Caenorhabditis elegans: one gene and its partner. The protein of the gene in region 2 interacts with the protein of the main gene of each other region in a pairwise test. Each region holds a gene or a part of one and is shown on either strand. Other genes may lie near its edges.

Evidence for each region. The genes of interacting proteins can lie anywhere in the genome.
Region 1: the proteins of dlst-1 (region 2) and ogdh-1 interact in a two-hybrid assay, tested with the Caenorhabditis elegans proteins (one large-scale study listed by BioGRID).

Annotation. Positions count from the first base shown.
Region 1 is NC_003282.8:4,702,243-4,705,994, reverse strand, and holds the start of ogdh-1 (2-oxoglutarate dehydrogenase, mitochondrial), read left to right. Parts: upstream 1-2,001; 5' UTR 2,002-2,010; coding exon 2,011-2,118; intron 2,119-2,477; coding exon 2,478-2,725; intron 2,726-3,158; coding exon 3,159-3,450; intron 3,451-3,752. UniProt on the Caenorhabditis elegans protein: The 2-oxoglutarate dehydrogenase complex catalyzes the overall conversion of 2-oxoglutarate to succinyl-CoA and CO(2).
Region 2 is NC_003283.11:6,706,999-6,710,750, reverse strand, and holds dlst-1 (Dihydrolipoyllysine-residue succinyltransferase component of 2-oxoglutarate dehydrogenase complex, mitochondrial), read left to right. Parts: upstream 1-1,649; 5' UTR 1,650-1,660; coding exon 1,661-1,717; intron 1,718-1,772; coding exon 1,773-1,812; intron 1,813-1,859; coding exon 1,860-1,940; intron 1,941-1,991; coding exon 1,992-2,248; intron 2,249-2,305; coding exon 2,306-2,676; intron 2,677-2,726; coding exon 2,727-3,177; intron 3,178-3,321; coding exon 3,322-3,456; 3' UTR 3,457-3,695; downstream 3,696-3,752. Other genes in the region: sna-1 (Small Nuclear RNA (snRNA) Associated protein), read left to right, coding at 266-280, 367-446, 494-744, 793-849, 898-1,055.

The sequences.
Region 1 (3,752 bases), on a different chromosome or scaffold from region 2:
GATTTTCCATAATTCCGGTTTTTTTTTGTTTCTCTATCGTGATTTTTCTGAATTTGGGTCTGAGGGTGTCGATTTTTCAATTTTTCACTGAAATCTAATGATTCAGATTTTTCAAAAAAATATCTTAACATTTTTTGGACGAATACATATGTTATCTTAGTGTTTTTCTTTTTATCAATTCAAACAAACTTCGTTAAAAATTGTATTTTAATGTTAATTAACTAAAAAAAATTAGATTTTCAATATTCCAGAAAAGTCGAAACATTCTCCGATGACACCATTTTTTGAGATGTTCTTGAAATTTTTAAAACCAAATTTCCAATCATTTTACTTCATCTTCAAATTAAAGAATCAAACTGATATTTTTGTAGGTTCTGTGATGCTTCATAAGTAGAACATATTTCTAATACAAAAGTAGTTTGTATATGTGTGTATATACGCGTATCCGCGCAGCCTGTGTTCATCAGTTTCTTTTTCTCCTACTCCTCCTACTCCTCCACCGAAATGCGTCATATTCTCTGGTTTTTTCTCTCTTTTTCCCTCCATCTCTCTATCTCTCTCTCTCTCTGTCTTTGGCCGATTGGTGCTGCTGGGCGCCCCTCGAAAGCGAGCCGCCCGTGAGAGTGTTATGAAACATTGACGAGACGCCGAGAGGCATGAGAGAAGGGGTAAACCCCCGGGCGAACTGTGTGAAGTTCTGTGCTTAATCACCCTCCTGTGGATCGTTCGATGATGAGATGATCTTGAACACGGGCGGTGTGTATGTCCACTCTTTTTCTCTCCTCTCTTCGTTTTTTTTGAATACTCTCAATTTGTTGTGTCTGCTCCTCAATTTCCTTATGCAGCTTCTTCTTTTTTGACAGCTTTATTTTGCACAACGGAAAGTTATCCTCTTGTTTTTTTTTGTTTATAGGTTTTCGCCCAATAAAAGCAAAACAAAAACCAGTTCTTCGGAAATACTTTCGATTTAAGTGGTGATGAAAAAAAGAACATTTTGTGATGTTAAATGATGACTAACAGATCAAAATTGTTGTTTTATGGCCCCAAAAAAGCTGAATTTCAGAACGAAACTTTTATGGAGGTTAAAAAATTCTTGAATATAGCTTGGTTTTTTTTAAATCTAAAACCTCCAATTTCGCCACCTTTTCCGTTTCGCAGAATTCAGAAAGTGATTTTAATTTGATTATTGTCCTATTTTCTGCATATTTGGATTGTTTTTCTCACGGGTTTTCGATAATTTAGTTGCATTTGAATCTAATTTGGACACAGAAAAAATGACGAAGTTGTGGGTTTTTAGCTAACAAAACATTTTTAAGCAAAAACCGTCATTTATTTTTTGAGCGATTTTTTAAAGTCTCGTTATGAAATTCAGTTTTTTGAGTTCATTGTATTTAGTCCTCACTAAAAAATTCAGAACGAAATGCACTAAAATCATATTTAAATAAATATTAAAAAATTAAATGAATTAAAAAATTTTTAAAAAAATTCGTCCGTCCAAATCAAATTTCTCTCATTTTTTCCCAAACTTTTCATTTTCATTCCTGAGACGTCTATCAAACAGAAGGTAATTATTTAAGTGATAGTGAAAGCTCCGTATGCAAAATTTCCATCTTTTTCCACATTTTTCGGTGTGATAAGACAGAATTGTGATTAGTGGTCTCTGTTCAAAATAATGCAAAAAATGACTAACAGATATTTTTTTCTTGCAAAATTTAAGATCTTAGCTAAACATAGCTTGAAATTTTCGAAATTTTGAACTGCCATTAACAAAATTCGTTCATTTGAGCACATTTTGGGTTTATAAATTCAAAATATCCGAAACCGTTAATCATCATCGTTAAAACATATTTACCCTCCAATTCAACGCCGTCAAAAAAAAATGTTGATGTCATTTTCCGCGTGACTTTCCTTTTTCTAAACACTATTTTTTGATCATTGATTTAAAAAAAAGAAAACAGTTTTATTATTTTCTTGTTTCTTCAGTAACCCGGGAAACTTGGCCCCCCAACCATGCATCGGGCGAGTCTTATATGTCGTCTTGCGTCCCCCAGTCGCATCAATGCCATCAGAAATGCTTCATCCGGAAAGAGCCACATTTCTGCTTCGACACTTGTTCAGGTAGTGACAAAAAATTCGAAAAAATTGGTTAAATTAATTTGAGAAGAGTATTTCAAAACAATTTTTCCCGGTTTGTGCTCCAAAAATAAGGTATCTAAAGTCTCGACAGGAAAGTTTTCTTTAATTAAATGCGAAAAGTCCGACTTGCGTTAAATGTGAAATATTCATCGATTTTTCAAAATATTTTTTCGGTGAAATATAAAAAATCGATTGAAATCCCTCATTTTTAAATTACAGTACTCTTTAAAGGCGCACACATTTTCGCATTTAACAGAAATTTGTCGTGGTGAGACCCTAGGTACCGTATTTTGAGTAAAAATTTCACGCCTGGATATCATATTAATTCCAAAATTTTCCAGCACCGCAATCAGTCAGTGGCCGCCGCCGTCAAGCATGAACCATTCCTAAATGGATCCTCATCCATCTACATTGAGCAAATGTACGAAGCTTGGCTTCAGGATCCATCATCAGTACACACTTCATGGGATGCGTACTTCCGCAATGTCGAGGCCGGAGCCGGACCAGGACAAGCTTTTCAGGCTCCACCAGCAACTGCCTACGCTGGAGCTCTTGGAGTTTCACCAGCAGCTGCTCAAGTCACGACCTCGTTCGTTTTTTTTGTTCTGATTGTGATGATGATAAACATCTAAACGAGAATTGAAGTCAACAACCTTGGAATTTTTCTTTGAAAAAACTGTTTTTCAAAGGGAAAATTTCAGAATATTCACTACAGTAATCTCAAAGGCTCCCGTGAACAGTTTTTATCAAAACAACTTTTTTTTGAAATTTTGAATCATCATGAAAGTTTTTTGGAGATTTTTAATAAAGTCTCATTAGAAAATTGGTAGTTTTAAGCAAAAAAATTTGCCCAGTGCGCCTTTAAGATTACTGTAGCGAGAAAAAATTGCAAATTCGATACATTCAATAAATGCCGAAACTAGTGTGAAAAGCTTCGTTTTTTGCGTTCTTTAAAAATTTTATTAGAAAAAATATAAAATTCACCGTAAATTTTCTAATTTTAATCTCGAAAACTGTTCCAGATCTGCCCCGGCCACTCGCCTCGATACGAATGCATCTGTTCAATCGATCTCGGATCACTTGAAAATCCAGCTCCTCATCCGCAGTTATCAGACTCGTGGTCACAATATCGCAGATCTCGATCCACTCGGAATAAACAGTGCCGATTTGGATGACACGATTCCACCGGAGCTTGAACTCTCGTTCTACGGACTTGGAGAACGTGATTTGGACCGAGAATTCCTTCTTCCGCCCACCACTTTTATCAGCGAAAAGAAGAGCTTGACGTTGAGAGAAATTCTTCAGAGACTTAAGGTGCGATCAAGGAATTGTGCAAAATGAGCCTATATTTTTCATTAAAATTTAGTGGATTTATCTGAAAATAACGTTTATTTCTGTTGGAAGAGGCCCCACGAAAAGGGGAGCAGAACGAAAAGGGGATCTGCAAAAAGGGGATCTGCGAAAAGGGGAGATACGAAAAGGGGAGATACGAAAAGGGGAGCAACGAAAAGGGGAGCTGGCACTGTGCCAAACGCACAAAACGCAATTTTTCTCACGCAACGCACGTTGATTTTTGAAATTTTCTTCTAGAAGATACGCTTAACAACACGCGACGC
Region 2 (3,752 bases):
TTACAATTGTTCAAGGTAAAATATGAATTTGTTGTTTTATTCAACGTAGACCTAATATTAAGCCAGTTACCATAAGCACTCAAAAAATAAACAAGGCGCGCTACGACACTCCGCACCCCTCAACGATTTTCGAATCAAAATTTTTTCTCGTCTCGTTTCTCTAGGGGGTTTCAGAACATTTCAAGTCTTGAAAGCGAGATTGATTTTTTGTTTTTAAACAGAAAATTAGTTGTTTCCATTAATTTTTCAATTTTTCGTTCTGAAAATGGCCGACAAGAAGGTAGGTAGGCAGAGCCCACCAATGGAAGTCGACGATATTGTTTTTCTCGTTGTTTTATCGATTATCTTCTATTCTTTTGTTTTCAGGACTACGCAGCTATCGCCGAAATCGAAAAGCAAATTGCCGATAATGCGGCAAATTTCGAAAAGTGGAAAAATGCTAACGCGTCAGTCGAATATATATTTTATTCACATAATTTCTCAATATTTTCAGGTTGCAAAGAGGATCTGCCGACTATAATGCAGGAGTGACACGATTCACCGACTGGGATCGTGATCTACGAACAAGGCTCGCATCTCATCAAGGAATAAATGTCGAATCAGGCCCGAAAAGCATCGATGCAGTCCTTGGAGAGTTGCTGGATAAAGTAGATGGTGCTGGCTTTGCACAAGCAATTCAAATTGCAAACTCCGCTGATCCTACATTTTGGCCAACATTACAACAGGAATTTCACAATTTTAAAGGTAAATAGTTTGAGTTTCCATTTGAAAATAATTGGCGTCATGTTTCAGCAAATCCACCACAGCCTGTATATCAAATGCCTCGATCTCAATATTACCCAAGTTTTGGTGAGTTGCATAGAATATTTTCTTCATTTTATAATTATTTTATTACAGCCTCGAGTCCATACGGTTATGCAGCTCCACAAGTTACATCAAACGTTCCTGTCTATCGGCCTGTTTTGCCAACAATTATCACACTTCCGAAAGCAGTCTCACCAGTCCGAGACTTCCAAAAGAAAACCGGAGCGCCATTCCGAGATTTCAGCGTGTAAACTGAACTAATCAATTCATCCTCGTTTTCTATTCACTATTTCTATACTTCACTTTTGAACTGTGCCGTCGTTATGTTTCTCAAATTCGAAAATCACAAATAAACATTTTCTAATCACACATCGATCTTCTGCTTATCAACTAGCCAGTGGTACAATGTTAAACTGGTTTTCGATATCTTTGATTCTGCAACATTCAAATGGGCAAACCCACGTGTTATATCGAATTGTGTGTGTTTATCAGAAATGCAACAGAAAAAATACAATTTCTACAGAAAATTGAAAAAATCAAAGTGAAAATTTGTGTATACTTTATTTTTATGATTAATTGCACTGCAAAATATGTCATGCGATTCATAATCTACGTATTTTTCATGTTATTGATATTCCGAAAAATATCCCGAAAAACTCTGATCCAACGAAAAGCGTGCGGTGGCGTTGCGAAAAACGCGCGCGCGCGTTGCAGACCAGCGCCCGTCCGACCACGCCCACTTCTCGAATTGTTGCATTAAAATTCCTTGATATTTTTGAATGAGGAGTTATTTAGAACATATTTCAATTGTTTTGCGCAAAAAATATTAATACGCTATTTTTCAGGGTAACCGAAAATGCTCGGGCGACGTGCAGTATCAGTTCATCGGTTTCTTTCCAGAGCCGCGAGACAAGTGAGCATTTCTCATTTATTTTTTAGTTAAAAAAAATACGTATTCCGTTTTCCAGAGCGTAACTGCTGCCTCTTCTGCACAGCCAAGCCTCCAAGGTAGGAAGTTTACACGTTTTATATTAAAATAATCGAATTTCTTCCAGCTAAGACCAGTTTGTTGGAACCACTCGTTCAAAATGTGAGAATTACATCTTCAGCCAACTTCCACATGAGTGCAGTAAGAAGTGAGTTTTAAATGAAAAATACTTTTCAAAAATCTCATATTCAAATCACAGTGAGCGATGTTATTACCGTCGAAGGACCAGCTTTTGCTGAATCAATTTCGGAAGGAGATATTAGATGGCTAAAGCAGAAGGGAGATCATGTTAACGAAGACGAACTTGTCGCTGAGATTGAGACGGATAAAACTTCGGTTGAAGTACCAGCTCCACAAGCCGGAACAATTGTCGAGTTTCTCGTGGAAGATGGAGCTAAAGTGACAGCCAAGCAAAAGCTTTATAAACTTCAGCCAGGAGCAGGCGGAGGCTCGTCTGTGAGTTAATTTTTGTACAGCTTAGTGACTGAATTATAATATTTGTTTTTTTTTCAGTCAGCGCCAGCTAAAGAAGAACCAAAATCAGCGCCAGCCAAAGAAGAATCAAAACCAGCTCCAGCCAAGGAAGATTCGAAGCCAGCTGTGACTGCCGCTGCCCCACCAAAGCCAGTTTCTGGGGATATTCCAAAATCTGCTCCACCAGTTGCTCGCCCACCATCAACACCATCATCTTCCACTCCAGTCGGAGCCGTCCCAGTCACTCGTGTCGTTGTTCCAAAGGGAGTTGATCCATCCCACGCAATCACCGGAGCCCGTGATGAAGTCCGCGTTAAAGCCAACAGAATGCGCATGCGCATTGCTCAAAGACTGAAGGATGCTCAGAATACTTATGCTATGCTTACTACCTTCAATGAGATTGATATGAGGTTTTTTGTTGTTTTCTGGGTTTTTAAAAAAAGTTTTCGTGTTTTTGCAGCAGCCTCATCGAAATGAGAAAGACTTATCAGAAGGATTTTGTTGCCAAGCACGGAGTTAAGCTCGGAATGATGTCTCCATTTGTCCGCGCTGCCGCCTACGCTCTTCAAGAATCTCCAGTTGTTAACGCCGTTCTCGATGAAAACGAAATTGTCTACCGTCACTTTGTCGATATCTCCGTTGCTGTTGCTACACCGAAAGGACTCGTTGTTCCAGTCTTGAGAAATGTCGAGAGCATGAATTATGCTCAAATCGAATTGGAACTTGCCAATCTCGGAGTGAAGGCTCGTGACGGAAAGCTGGCTGTTGAAGATATGGAGGGAGGAACCTTCACGATTTCTAACGGTGGAGTCTTCGGATCCATGTTCGGAACCCCAATCATCAATCCACCACAAAGTGCAATTTTGGGAATGCACGGAGTGTTTGATCGTGTTGTTCCAGTCAACGGAAAGGCAAGTTTTCATTTTTATTCCAATTACTGATAGAAATTATCAAATTCGAATTTCAAAATGTTTAAATTTAACTAAAATGATTATAATACTGAAAATATATAGAAACAAAAACGTATGATTCATAAAAATTTGTTCAATTTTCAGCCAGAGATCCGACCAATCATGCAAATCGCTTTGACCTACGACCACAGATTGATCGATGGAAGAGAGGCAGTCACCTTCCTCAAGAAGATCAAGACCGCCGTCGAGGATCCACGAATCATGTTCATGAATCTTTAAATCTTAAATCTTTATCGCCCCTTTTTTTCTAAATTCTTTTTTCTATGCCTCCTTGGTCATGCTTTCACAAAATTTTTAATTTTTCGTTTGAACGTTTAGTAATCAACCGTAAATCATAGGTACGATGTATCGTCTAGCTTGTCATTCACCCCTTATGTTCGACTGTCCCTTATTATCCGAGTTTTCTTGTTCAAAAGCTAGTATTGATTATTAAAAAAATAAAAACCAAATATTTCACTTCTTCATCAGTCTTTAATCACACAAATTTGGCAATCATTACTTTTGATTTCGATATT